2 linked regions of the Oreochromis niloticus genome follow. The protein of the gene in region 1 interacts with the protein of each later gene in a biochemical or structural test. Links are inferred from orthologs where the notes say so. Each region holds a gene or a part of one and is shown on either strand. Other genes may lie near its edges.

Evidence for each region. The genes of interacting proteins can lie anywhere in the genome.
Region 2: the proteins of ripk1l (region 1) and ikbkg form a complex in vitro, tested with the Homo sapiens proteins (4 studies listed by BioGRID). The link is inferred for Oreochromis niloticus from reciprocal best matches to the Homo sapiens genes RIPK1 and IKBKG.

The regions. Positions count from the first base shown.
Region 1 is NC_031982.2:17,766,152-17,773,831, forward strand, and holds the start of ripk1l (receptor-interacting serine/threonine-protein kinase 1), read right to left. Parts: upstream 3,109-7,680; 5' UTR 2,951-3,108; intron 2,672-2,950; 5' UTR 2,670-2,671; coding exon 2,509-2,669; intron 1,535-2,508; coding exon 1,378-1,534; intron 1,234-1,377; coding exon 1,096-1,233; intron 1,015-1,095; coding exon 783-1,014; intron 671-782; coding exon 521-670; intron 1-520. Other genes in the region: dusp22b (dual specificity protein phosphatase 22-B), read left to right, coding at 5,767-5,787, 6,205-6,238, 6,369-6,451, 7,338-7,387. UniProt on the Homo sapiens protein: Serine-threonine kinase which is a key regulator of TNF-mediated apoptosis, necroptosis and inflammatory pathways.
Region 2 is NC_031984.2:33,182,442-33,189,886, reverse strand, and holds the start of ikbkg (NF-kappa-B essential modulator), read right to left. Parts: upstream 3,051-7,445; 5' UTR 2,983-3,050; intron 2,723-2,982; exon of another isoform or gene 2,371-2,722; 5' UTR 2,324-2,370; intron 1,775-2,323; 5' UTR 1,773-1,774; coding exon 1,634-1,772; intron 1-1,633. UniProt on the Homo sapiens protein: Regulatory subunit of the IKK core complex which phosphorylates inhibitors of NF-kappa-B thus leading to the dissociation of the inhibitor/NF-kappa-B complex and ultimately the degradation of the inhibitor.

The DNA.
Region 1 (7,680 bases):
GTTTATTTCAGAAACTGCTGATCTACGGGAATTTTCATACCCGCCCAACTCAAAGATTTACATAAGAACATGATCTAAAAAAGAGAAAATATTGTTATTGTATTGTATACTATTGATACTAGACCTCAGAGGACAATGGGCAGACTGCTTTGAGCTGACAGGAAGGCAACAATTACTCAACAGCAAGAGTAATTCACATAACCACTCATTACAGAAGAGCATCTCATCTGAATGCGCAACAAGTCGAGTCTTGTGGCAGATGTGTTAGAGCAGCATAAGACCACAGACAGAGTTCACTGCACTCAAACTGCCAGATCTGTCAGACAGAGCATTTGTTGGATGTGGTGGAACAGGAGATTTGCATCTTGGATGTGCTGCTGACAGATCTGCAGCAACTGTGTGATCCTATCGTGTTGATATGGACCAAAATTTCTGGGAAATGTACCTAATGAAATGGCTGATGAGTGTACGTGGTTCCATCAATGAGTGCTATTTTGCTTAAAATACACAAAAAGGAAACCTTTAAAAGTCGGTCGTTCCTGAGGATTGTGATCCCAGCATCTTTTCATGAGCTGAATTATTTCAGAAGGCGTGTCCTCTGGAATAAGATCCTCTGCCGGTCGGTCACCGTTACGAACACACTGGCTGATTTGGTCTTCACTCCTGGCATCTGGGCATAAAAAGATGCTTTTTTTAAATGGCTGCAATGACATGCTGTAAGAGGATATGCTGCATCTGGTAATCTTTGGCAAACTTTGGCATGTCATGACATCACAGCTCACTTGCATATGGCTCTTCCCCTGTGAGAATGACCCACACCACGATGGCAAAACTGTACACGTCAGACTTCTCAGTGGAGGGATTATGAATACTCTCCAGGTGCTCCGGGGCCATGTAGCTCAGTGTGCCAGCTCCTCTCACACCAGTCGATTGCCTCATACGGCTCTTCCTTCGAGATTCCTCCTTGGTGAGTTTACTCCACGTTTGGCAGGTGGCCAGACCAAGATCTGCAATCTACAAGAAATCCTTCACCATGACTGTGAATGCCAGCAGACAGAATCCTACATGTGTCATGACCCAGAGAGTGTAATGTACCTTGATGTGAAAATCCTTGTCCACTAAGATGTTTTCCGGCTTGATGTCCTTGTGTATGACATTCTTTTCTGTGAGGTACATCATTCCCTCCAAAATCTCTAAGATGATTCTTCCCTTGATAGATACTGGCACACTGACCTGAAGAACAGAGAGATTATAGTGTAATAATGCTTCAGTTCATGATAAACTGACAAAAGTGGAACTCTTTAAGGTTACACGCTATAGATGAAAACCACAAAAGCTGTGTTTATTACAGGTATTTATTGATTTAAGCCTACTAACGGTCTCCAGCATGTCCAGTAGGTTGCCTCTGGGGATGAGTTCCATGACAAGAGAGCAATCTCGATCCTCCATAATCACACCCAGCAACTTGACCACTCGCTCGTGGTTCAGGCTCGCCATGATCTTTCCCTCCTCCAGTAGTGATTTTTTACTCTCCCTGGAAAGTTTGTTAAATGTAATAAGAGAAAGCTTTTGCATAGTAAAAGGGACAATGTGAGCATATTCTTACCGACTTCAATAACCCAATTCTGATATTTATGCATGTGTGGGCGTGCAGTAACAGATAAGTAAGAAATATAGTCTTTAATTCTGTCTTTCTGTTACCATTTATAATCATACAGACAAGCCAGAGCAGTGATTCTGTTTCTAGTGCTACAAAAATCAATATATCATTTTATACTGATAAGGATTAAGATAAAGACAACATTTTTAAAAAATGTGTAAAAAAAAAAAATTGGGTATTTGGTGGAGCTGATTGAAAGTACTGAGGCAAGACTTTGGATTGGCATGTGCCTCACAGTGCATCTGAGATACAAACAATAAGCTGAGAGGTCAAACAAAGTAAAAGTATCAGCAACATTTTTTTATAATCACTGTTAATATTTTGTATTTATAAATACATAAATACAATTATAAATACATTTTGCATTTATTTATATTCAGACTGTTAAGGGGACAACGCACTACATTTGAAATGTTGTCTCAAAAAATAAAAAGTGAACAGATATTCTTCACAACTTTTAAACAACTAAATAGTCAATAATTAATAGAATAATTAATTCATATATGCGGATATAAAAAACGGATGCTGGACTTCATCGGCATTGAGCTGAATCAACCTGTCTCTATTTCCTTGTGCAAAAAGGAAGTGGTTGGACTTAATACCAAGGTAGTGTCCCTTTTCACAGCACACTACCTTGGTATAGACAACCGTAATAACGAGTACATTCATTTACATCCGTGTGTATTCATTTGTGTTATTATACTTTCTGCACGCTCTAAAAGTGTCTCGCTTGGTTGCGTGGAAAACTTCGCGGGACACATGATTCAAGTTATCATTGGACGAAGGGGAATACCCTTGGGTAGCACATGCAGTAACACATTACAACAACTACAACAACAACAACTTACTCGTTGCGCAGACGTCCAGTGTACATAGTCTTTAACACCACCTGTCCCAGCGTCACATGATAACATAAGTAAACTTCTCCAAAACCTCCGTAATCCAGGGGTTCTTTTATAATGAGATCCGTCGACCTCATGTGAAGTGAGTACTCAGGCGCGGTGGCCATCCCTGGGAAGAATTCACAGTGTCACATCGGAAAAACCAAAAAACCTACAGCTCAAACAAAGCCGTAACAAAGCGCACAGGACACAGGTTAATGACTGAATCGGCTAATCAACCATCCGTAACAATCACAACACTGTCACAGAGGTCAGCTAACAGCACAGGCTATCCCAAAGTGTCGGCATCTTTAACTGACTTCACTTCCATAACTAAATTAATTACTCGGGAAACAAAAGTGTAGGGGGAACACCCCCATTCACTTCCAGTATCAAACAAAACAGTTACCGAAAATGTGCTGGAAAAGTCCAAGTAAAGCAGTTTATTTCTATTTCCGGGATTTCCTCGACGACCTACTTCAAAAGTGAAACGCGCAAGATAAAAAAAAAAAAAACTACAAACAGGCTTATAAATCGATGACAGAAACAATCCAGGGCTGCTAGTAGATTCAGGTATGTACTGTCGGAGATGCCTTTAACACAAAGCAGAAATACGGGATAAAAAACTTATAAATCTTTGTGCGTTTACTTGTCTTATCTGTTGTGTTCACATTGTTTTTTTGTTTTGTTTTTTGAGCAACATTCTGCAATTTCTGCCAATGGCTGTAAATCATTGAGTATGACGTTGGCGCCACCTAGTGGTGAAACTGTTAGCAGGGGAGGCCTGTTCATATTTCATGATGGTGACACAGTTGAATCGTTCTAGCTGGATCTAAACGGCAGCTGTCATAAGAGGGGAAAAAACGTTCTCATCGAATTAAAAAATTAAGATGTAAGCTAAGCTAAGTTAAGATGAGGACTTTGACGTTTTCTTTTGTTTGTTTGCTTCTGTTTTTTAAAGTAATAACAAAAAAATCCAAAAAACAAGTTAATATGATGGAGTAATTAAAATGACGCACTGACTGAAAAAAAACCCAAGTTCATTGATAAATTGAACATTTATGCGAAACTAGAGCGGGAAACCACCTGAATTGTAGCCACTGACAATGTGGGCGATGTACTACAAGTAGGCCTACATTTTGGGCAGCCTATCTGTGAACGCCCACACTATAAATTCCTCCTTTTGCACACCAAAGCCACATCAAAGCAGTATCATATTTACCTGGCTCATATTGTCTCCATTTTATTGGCTTGCAAGTTTTTTTCTTCTACTTTTTTTCTGTTAATTACATTTATTGGTGGTAACCTTCAGGTTATATAGCAGTTGATGAGAAATGGAGTGCTCTTACCAACAATTAAAAGACAAAAACCAAACTGGTGAGTGAAATTACTGAATTCAAGCTTAAATTCCACCTACTTATGACTGCTTGGAGATTCACATAGATGACCTTGTTTAGTGGCACAGTATCGGGGCAGCGTCCTCATTCAGTTTTGGCAGTTTACAAATGGGTCTAGGTCCATTAGTGTGTTGACTATCTGTATAAACTCAAGTTACTTTATGGCAAAACTACAAGAAGTGATACAAATATCTAATGTTGTCTCTTGCCCAGTTTTCTTGTGAATCCAAGTAACATTTTAGATTGATTGATTACTATTAGAGTACATTCACCAGTGTGCAGAGCTCTTAAAAGCAATAAAACTAGGGGAAAAGTATACATACCCTCATGCATAAACCGGATGGGTGGACTGATAACCAGCTTGCATTACTCTGTGTAGTAAGTGCATCACATCTCTGTCGCAGATGCTTTCCTCCCATTCAAGCTGTAGAGTAGAGGCTGGCGGTCACAAGCTGCCCCACATAGCAAAACAACGCATTACCAGGAAGTTAAGTGAACTGGTGTCTGCGGTGTAAATGTGCTGTCAATGTTGGGCAGTGGGTAGCAGCACTTCCTGTTGATGTCTTTATCACAGTAATTATCAGTAGAGATCTGACATATGCCATCATTTCTCTGTAATAGCAGCACTGTAGAGTCCCGTACTTGTCGTTGGTTTCTCAGTGCCTCCTTTAGCAGTCACACTCTATTTCTGTTCAGACTGGTTAACTGCCAGAATGCATCTAGTTGATTATGTCTGCAGCATAGATTAAAGTTGTTGTTTTTTCTAACAAAACGTGCCTTCATATGTTGTTTGGAAAATCATTTGGATAAGCCTCTGGAAAGAGCCTTTCCAGAGGTGTCACAATAAAAGTTGTGTTGTTGGTGGAGAGGGCATCCACACTGGCTGGTCTGTAGGAGGGGAAACAGTACATAAATAAATCAGTAAATATTTTATAACTCACTTTGTTGCAAACAGTGGTTTTTGCTGTGTTTTCAATCTATTTTAGTTATTTCAACCTGTTAGATAAAAGGAATAAAGTCAAGGTTCTCTTGGTTGAGGGTGATAAGACACATTCAGCTTGCAGATCTGTTTCCTGTTTTCTCCTGCTTGAAAAGCCTTTCCACAGGTGCCATCATTTTGCTGGTGGTGGTGATGGCATCCAGACTGGGTCGTCTGTATGGAACAGAACAAACAAACCTGTGAATACTTTGTGTTTTGCTTTTTTAGAAACAGCTATCTTCAGTGTTATTGCACTGTGTTATTATTATGACATCAAAGGAAATAAAGTCAGGTATTTTGTGAGGTTTTGGTTGAAGGTGAGAAGATCCATTCTGTACTTGACTCATAGCCTTGTTTCCTGTTTGTCCTGGCTGCAAAGCATCAAAAAGGCTGTGTTGTTATTGTTGTGTGTGTATATATATATATATATATATATATATATATATATATGTATACATTTTGTGACTGCCTTTATTATTAACAAGAGAGACAAAACCAAATTACTTTTTAATGTCATTTTTTTCATGCAACATGATCGATATTGATTAAATTACTGAGCCTTTCGTTGATCTCTTTAATTATATTTTTTATGTGGGGCTGTTTAACTCCTCCACACACATCTACTACAGGTCTGCAACGCCCTTTGCGTTAGGAAACTACAGCTCCCAGCATCCACCTCGGGAACCTCGGGCAGCAGTGCTCGGCTCGCTCGCACGCAGACCAACTGCGTTTGCTCCCCTTCAGCCGGTTTGGGAAGGCATCGAGACGCCGGATACGCGTTTTCCAGCACCGAGGCTGCGGCGTGGGGCATTTCTTTCAACTCTTCTCCAGTGAGGCGGGTCTTTCAGCATGGGTAATGGCATCAATAAGGTACGATTATCCTCTCTTCCGTGCTCCTCAGGTTGGAGTTGTTGTGTGAGTGGTCCTCAGTGTTTTAAGGAAATGTGTTTATCATTTTAGGATATTTCATAGAATAAAAAGTTTGGTTGCTCGTTAACTTTGCAGTATTAGGAAATGTAGTATAGCTGTTAGAATACTTAATCATTGCCTAGTTCAGTGATCAAACTTGAATTATTTTGGCATAGTTATTATTATTTTTTTAGTTATTATCATTTAGTGGCTGAATATGTATCTATTCAGATCGTCAAAGGACACCGTTTGTAATTATACCTTCATATTGCCAGGGTTTCATTTATCTTTATAGCTGATTGGTCTTTAATCAGTTTGCACCACCTCAGTATCAATGATTACTTTTGATATAGCAATCAGTATTCTTTTTCCTTATAGGTCCTTCCTGATTTATACCTGGGAAATTTCAAAGGTGTGTCTCATTTTCTCTTTATTATTATTATTATTATTGTTATTGTTATTATTATTAGTATTGATTGACTTCTTATATGTGTGCAGATATAATAACGCTGTTCGACTGTGCTGTTATGTGTTTCTGTCAGATGCAAGGGACAGAGAACAGTTAGCCAGAAACAACATTACACACATCCTGTCCATTCATGACAGTGCAGCTCCTATCCTCCAGGTGAGAAGCTCTCTTTGTCTTATAATGTCTCAGCACCCAGGTGAATCATAGAGGTACACATATTGAATTTCTAATAAATTTTTAAGTAGAGTCATCAAGCAAACAAGCGGAGCAGATTGATTGGCTGAGAGCAGTCAGACACCCTCCACAGTCGACCCGGTCTGTCAGGTTGTTCAGGAAGCACTGTGTATCAGTGGCTCTTTTCCTTGAGCAAACAGCTCTCGTTTCCGTGCGAGTAAAACATACACAGGGGACTTTTTTTTACTCATGTGATTCTTTAGAGTATCATGTAAAATGCCAGTCAACAGCAGTTGGTTTATCAGTGTGCTGAGTTGTGTGCCTGCGTGGGTTTCAGAGTAGGCGGTTGTTCTTGTCTCAACCAGCTCGGACTATGCAGTCTCTCTTCATTATTATTTTTTTCTGGATTATTAATTTTGACGCTTTAACATGTAGAGACACCCCCCACCCTGCCAATGGTACCTCCTGAACAGCAGGGATAGAGAGCACAAACCATTTACAAAGAGAGAAATGCAACAGAGAGCCCGCGGTCGGTCTTGTCCTGGTTTCTAAACTTCCAAGATCGGGATAAGTTGGAAGAAACCTGATAGCCTGAGGTTGCCGCAGGACACCAAAGAGGTCCCCCGTCCATGACCTGACAGCTCAGAGCTAATTTAATGGGACAACAGAACAATTAGGCTGGCGTTTTTAGTATAGTGGCTAATCAGCTTTAGTTACACAGCCTGCCCTCACCATAAGCAACACACATCGTGAATCACTGAGTGTGTTGGTGTGATGGTGACATTTATTATATTCTTCATTCTGTTAGCTGATCTGTGTTAAATATTTAGGAGAACGTGACATTTGACTAGTATACTCTGTCCACCAGGAGATGACCTATCTCTGCATTTCAGCAGCTGACCTTCCCACACAAAACCTGTAAGTACCAAATTGTGCAGCACAGCAGCGCGGCACAGAACAATGAAAAGCTGAGGCAGAGTGAGAGAGTACTACATCCATTTGAGGCTTCTTTGTGTGGGCGTCTGAGGTTCATTTTCTCCAAGATAAAGTGTAAATGATATGCTTTCCCAAGCTAAACATTTATTTTCTGACAAGAGCACAGTAACACAAATGGACTGAGCTCTTGGCACTTATTTTGGTAGGTATGTGTGATGTTCAAATACACGCAGTTATTTTTATGTGAAACTAGAGAAGATGGCCAAGGGTGGTGC
Region 2 (7,445 bases), on another chromosome or scaffold:
TCCTTGAATTAATGTTAATAAAAATAATTTGCTTAACTGAAACACTGTTCTACTGCCACATCAAATCTAATTATACTTTTACAAACTCTTGCTCAGTTCTTGGAAATGCAATCAGATATGACTTTTATTTTTATTACACCCTTTCCTAACTGACTAACAACAGTAGCTCATGTCAACATGAGCATAGAGTTTAAATAATGATACAGACTGAGTTTGCTGACTCTTTCCTTGCCTTCCTCTGTTACGCTACTGTGTATGTTAGTCATGTTTACCATTATACAAATGTTGACAAAATAAATGTTCAACTTTATTAGCAGTAAAAACATTTCTCAGTTGAAGTAATTTACATGAGCTGCAGCACATAGAGGTTAACGCCAGCTAATTCTAGTTAACTTCAGATAGAGTTTGCTGTATAACTGAATATAGAAATCTTCCTCTTTACACTCTATAAACTCAACAGTGAATGACTAAAAATACTTTGTTTAAATGTTCCTTTGAAACAGTAATGTGTACCCAGTAAACACACCACATTACTTAAATTAATAAAGTAGTTTTTTGTGCACTTATATTGAGAGAGAAAGCATACCGATACTTTATACTGGACACAGTTAAAGTGCTGTGACTCACAAGGTGTGTATGGTGGTGTAATATCACCTGGACACTGTGACCAGTGTCCAGCAAACACTTTGAGTGATGCAAATGAAACGCCTCCATGTTTCTGCTGATCTAGCTTATGCTTTTCTGTCTGTATTTGTGGTGTAGGTAAAGGGGGATCCTGCTGCTTTGTGAGGTATCTGTTGTAGTCAAAACCCTTGCAAACAGGTGTGAAGAATTGTTCTATTTTATTCGTTGCATGCATCATTAGGTCTCCATAAATGCTTACTAATTTGTAAATGTGAATAAAGGAATTGGTAAATCTTTAGTAACATTTGCTTGCAAACTGAGACCTGGAAATGAGTGTACAAGTGTGTAAATGACCTGTAGTTAGAGACAAGCATTCTCACAGATATTTACATCTACAGCGGCACAAGTATATCTCTAACTCATGAACTGTCTATTTTTCAGCCATTAATATCTGCACACACATCTGTAGATTTTATTACACTAGGAAATCTGAAAATAGATTGAGGTTTTTACAAATGTACAAATCGGACGACTCTTCCTGTTAAATGATAGTTCTGCCTTACCACCATCATCAGATACTTGCTCATAGGGGATTGTCTGCTCTTTGGGGTTTTCCCTCTATTATGCTGTAGGGTCTTCACCTTACCATACAAATGTGACTAACACCAGAGACATTGTAAGAATGAGATGTGACACTTTAAGAGCAAAGACGCTGATAGAAACAGAACTTCTAGGGGGGAAAAAAGCTTCCTGGAGCAAAGTCGGTAACCTTTGAAGTATTTGTTATCTCTGCATAAAGTTTGTATGTCCCAGTGACCACTGAATTCAAGAGTTAATGTAGATAAATCCTTTAAAATGATGAACCACACAAATATGCTTCTAAAATGGTTTTTAAGGGACAAGATTTGCTTCTTTCTTCCTTCTTCTTTCTGAGTCTGCTGTTTGAGCTCATCACTCAGTACAGCAATATTCTTTTAAGTGACCTTTTTTTTCGTGTGAACACGCTTACCTCTAAGCTGCTGGTTGTCACTTAACAATCTGGTCACCACTTCATTGGCTGCAAGCTCTGGTGGGACCCTGAGGGTCGCTCCACTCTCTTCTCCGGACATCTCCCACTGCATGGGGCCATCGGGTTGTGGCTGCACCATCACTGCAGAAAAACATCAACATTACACCACATATACACACATTTCTTGTTTAATTAAAGCGTTATTAATATTGAACATCAATATGCCGATGACCTTCCCGGCATTCTTCATCACATGACACATGGCAGACCAGGCCTCAGCGCCATTTAGGCGGCCCAGGCTGCAAACTTTCATTTTCACTTTAATACAACGTTTAAATCCAAGTCCAGCTTGTGTGTGTGATGGGTATCTGACCTGACGATAGACGTCTGTGTCATGAGTCACCGATAAAATGCAAGTGATTTTTGAGCTCACGTACAGGAATGGAGGAAAACATTACGTCATCTGCACTACCGAAGCAATGGACTCGACACAAATCTAGATTAATTAAAGTATAAACGCCAGTCGCCAATTTTAGCCAAAAGCACCAGATCGCACCAGCTGTGTTATAGGTAACGTTATAAACTTGTTATTTTCTCCCCCAAAAAAAACAAACAGTATCAAACATGCCCCCCGTACTAAGCCCATCTGATAGGTAATGTAGCTGTATTACTATGGGAAACTTTACTTACCCAATCTCCTTTTTCACTCCAGTCGCGTAGAGTATCAGACAACACAGCTGTCAGTCACATACAAATTGTTAGTAAGGGTATTTAACGTAATTAAACCAGCGTCAGGGAGCTGGCGCTAAACAGCTAGCGACTTAGCTAATGGGCTAGCTAGGATAACAAACCAAAAAGGCAACAAAGTAATCTTAGGCACTTGTTGACTGACATTAAACTAGAACTACATTAACGAGCTGTCTGTCTTCAGAAAGATATTGTACCTGGTTTGTAATATTATTCCAACGGACTGAACGTATTTAACATGGGCTGAGCTATCTGTTAAAGCTGAAGCGAGTGTTGTTAGCTCAGGAAATAAGAGGGAAAATTTCACCCTGAGTTAAGTCTTTCAGGCTGTCAACCCCTAAGTCTTGCTAGTTTGAAATGTTTCACATCCCATTATTTATTAGAATTAATAGAACATCTTCTGAAACTCAACTCAAATGGTGACCCATTTTAACTGAAATGGATTACCCATTATATCTAAAACATTAACATAAACTGGGCTGTTAACTAAAACAAAAATGTGGTTTCTTTTACAAAATGTCAGCATTTTATCTGACAGAAACCATCATGAAATGGATTTAGAACAATAAATTATCCTTTTTATAATTGATTTATTGACTTACATGCTAAAATTGAATGTGTCAGGTCAGTCACGTGGTTTTCTGTGTCAGTCTAGCAATGAGGTGCTGACTTAAAAGTCTCAGACCAATAAAATCAGTCAACTCAAATGTTAAATGTACTGCACTGTCTTGGCACCAGCCTGAAATCACTGTCACTCACTGGCTTAAAGCTTTAAAAGAGCTAACATGCTTAAATCTTAAATGACCAGTTTTATCGATTTTGCTGATTTCATGCCTAAATTACACAGAGACACAATAGTTACAGCCATAGCTGGACTGGCCATCGGGCATACCGGGCATTTGCCCGGTGGGCCGCTGGCGATTTTTTGATTTTATGGGCCGATGGATTTTTTTTTTTATTTTTTTTTTTTAGGAAGGGTATATATAATGAAAGGTGTTGGATTGGCCAATTGGTCATGATCGACTCTGGGCTGGACCAATTACAGCCGAGGAGGCCGGATGCACCCTCCCCCTTGTTTAGCAATCTTATAGACGAACTAAAGAAAATGGAGAACAAAAAAAGGAAAGGAGGTGTTTATGAAAATATCACTAAATCTGTCATTTATTAATTTTAATATTAATTAATGATCATGTCTCACCTCTAGTGTTCTTGATCTTAATTTAAGGTTTCTACCATGTGTTGTAGATAGTTCAGGAGGTTAACTCGACCAAGCAGTCTTTTTGTTTCCGCTATGTACTGTTTAAAATCCAGAATAGGGAGGATGGTGTAGGTTTAAGTTTATTAGATTGATACATATATACCAACAAGGCAGTGTACATCAAAGCAGTTGTTTTCATGCAAAGGCGATTGACAGATCACGTGACTTTCGCGCATTGCATGCCGGGAACTCGTGGCAAAACAATCCAAGTACGCATCAAATGCAAGCTTTTGCAGCACCGCAAAACGTTCATTCTCCGGTTCCAATATCTTCTTGGTTTTTCTTTGCCGCACAAAAAAGGAATGTACAAAACTAAGGAGAACAATGCCGGTCCGTACAAAGACAGACTCGACGAAAAGGCAAAGAAAAGATATGAGGAAAAAATCAAAGGAGTGAAAGGGTCAGACCCTTATGAGCACACAGAGTGGACAAAGGACGTTAGCGTGCTGCCCAACTTTTACCACGCTCAGATTTATAATTATAAGGTTCTTGGAGTGAGTGCATACACTCCTGAAGTTTTTAGTAACTTCAGGTCACTGCAACAAGCTCAGGTACAGTTTACCGACGGATGGGTACAGGACCTTGAAATGCACTGTGTAGAACAAAAGACCATCGTACAAACAAAGGTAAGCTTACCAGTCTCACAAATCGTCTTCATAAATACACAATCGTTAACCGTTTATTAATATAACCTTTGAGCTCAACGGTAATTAATTAGTAGTGGAAATAATTTCTGGTACGCATTACAGAAATGTAGCAGTGACAATAATATTGTATGTTGTAATTGCACTGGACAATTAGTGATACAAAACAACTGTTTTATCCTGTGAATAAAAGTATATGTTTTTGTCATGGTAATAACAGAAGCGAAACGCAATATTGTGTCAGGACAATTCACTATTTATGCACAATAAATAAAGAAGCATAGCGCGACAATTTCTGTTCAGCGCCAGACTTGCTTGTAACCTATATCACCAATTATGTTAAGAAAAATGACGTATTAACTACTACAAAACACTGACCTTTGTGGGAATGCTTGGAGCAGACTAACATGTGAGCTGGAGTGTTCTGAGATGTTATATTTGGTATATCCAGACCATCCGTTGGCTCTTACTTCCTGTGGCGTGTCCAGCGGGGTGGCCTGGGGGGGCACAGGCCACCCCCCCAACCAGACTGGCCACCCCGAAGCCAAAACAATAAAATCCAATGAAATATCAAATGTACGATTATGTTTTTACAGTGAAGCTCAGATATCCGAGTGTAAGAGAATACAGCATCGGCTTCTGCGCTATGAGCATCATGTTAGCAAAGGTAGGAGAACCAAGCACGAAAGACAGCACCACAGAAAACAGTTTTTCGGCGAAAGATTAACAGTTTAACATAGCTGGACTGGCCATCGAGCATGGCGGAGCTTCCACGGCGGCTAGCAGGTGGATGAGGGAAAGGGGAGCCAGGAGGAGGAGAGACCCGAGGCAGCCGCCAGTCCAATTGTCAAGTGAACTGAACTTCAGGTAAGAAGTTATGACCTGGAGTCTATCTGGGTCAGATATAAACCAAGTTTAGGTGGAGTTTATTTTCGTTGTGCTGACTTTTTACAGTCAGTTACAATAACTCTTACTGCGTACTAGCTAGCATGATGGAGTTTCTATACAGCTGGGTGGATGCTGTGATGTTACTGATGGTGAACTTTATTTTATTCATAAGGTTAGTTAGTAGAGTTGCCAACGGCTCCTTAAAAATGAAATGGTCCCTCATTCAGAGACAATATTACAGGTTTTGTATTGAGCTGAGAAGAGACGCAGTTTGTCCCGAACTTCAGCTAGAATGAAAAAGACACAAAGCTGGAGTTATTCTGTGTCTTTGCTGCACAGCTGCCTCCTCTTCTCTCATTCTCTCCCCCTCCCTCTCCTGTTGCTACTTCAATCATGAAACTGATCAATGATCAGCTGATCGGGTTTTCTTTTTTGTTTGTTTATCGCCCACTTTGCGCCAGAAAGAGGAAACCAGTGGATGTCGCGCTAAACAACAGCAGCACGTTTAAGCTTGATCAGCTGTTGTTAGAATTTATTTAATATTAATTTCTAGTATCAGCTGATGTTTGCTGGAGCCACAGCTGTAAAGCTGCTGGTCATGATGTCGGTTTGGATATGTGGTGAGAGGGAAACATGAAGATGAAACCAGGAGATGTCCTTACTGAATCATCAGAGCTGAACAGGTGATGGAGAAACAGGTTTACCTTTTAGGTGACATGGATGAGTTGAAGGGAAGTTATGAACTGTTTCTGAGAGACAAATAACACCAGGATCCTTTTCTACGTAGCTGACAGCTGGTAACTGTGCAGGGGCGGGTCTAGCAAAGTTATGCCAGGGGGCCAGGTAGGGCATTAACAGGGAAAGGGGGGCACAAAGAAATACTTTTCTTACTTATTCTCATTTAAAATATCTAGCTTTTATTAAATAATTATCTGAATCTTGCGAACAAAGTTTTTATCTGACGTAAAATTGATAGAAATCATACATATACCAACAAGACAGTGTACATCACTGTCACAACAGCGTTTGTTTTCATTCAAAGGCTTTAATACCTGGTGGGCCGGTCTGTAGTCAAAATGCCCAATTTTTTGTCCCAGTCCAGCCCTGCAGGTTAATACTGGCAGTGTCACCATGCCAGCTGTATTTCATCATCAGCCAGTGTTGTTCTTTATACATCAGTATTACCAAAGTTTACCATAAGGCGGCATAGAAAGTATTTACTTGCTTTCAGGTTTCATTCAAATGTTAGTCTTTTCATTTGTTACCCCACTTTTTCCCTGTTTCAAAATCAAACACCAGTTTGTAAGAAGATCATCTTCTTTTTTTAATAGGCAGATAAAGTTTTGCATTGGCTAATTTGGCAATTGTATGTTAAAAATGTTTGTATTTTAATATTCAAAAATGTTTTTGCCCAAAACATATGTGCCCTATATGTCAGTAAAAATACTACGCAAATATTGCTGTCCTTGAATGCTGAGTAAACACTGACAAAGCACTGATTGTATCTCTTGTACTTCATCAACGCAGTATCTAAAAACTTTGCACCGTAGTGGTTAAAACCTCATTCTAATAAGAGTCAAAAGCAAATTCAGTTATTAGGTTTACAGGGTTATTGAATGATGGTTAACGGTTGGTAGATTTTTTTTTTTAACATTATCTGCCAATTACATCTGCCACCCTTCTCCAAATCTGTGCCCCTACCTGGCCCCCCCAACAAAAATTTTCTAGACACGCCACTGCTTACTTCGGAAACATGGCTTAAAAAATTTCTCTTCAACGACATCCGATAAAAAAAACCCCGATCTCTTTACCCGTCGGCTTCCCTTGGCTGTCATGCGACCGGTTATTGCAGTTAATAATACAACAGCTTCTTGCCATTTTTTGGGTTTCTTTTTATCGCTGTGTAACTGAGTTCAATTGAAAGCCTGCGTGCGCTAGTACCTCTTGCCACAAGTTCCCAGAATCCTTTGCGGTTTTACCCCTGAATGACGTCACATTTTCAATCTCTATCCTGGTGGGCCAGTCTCTAGTCAAAATGCCCGGCCGATTTTTTGTCCCAGTCCAGCCCTGGTTACAGCTAAGTGACATAACAGTGCCATATATACAAATATTAACTTTTAATATTGGTACCATTAGTACTAACGGACAATACTTCGATGACGGTGACAAAAACTGGTTAGATATTTGGGGTATATCCTAAATTGAATTATAATCAAACTATTAATATCTTTCTAAAACATACGACTTTGTCACCTTGAAGGACTATAAAAGAAAT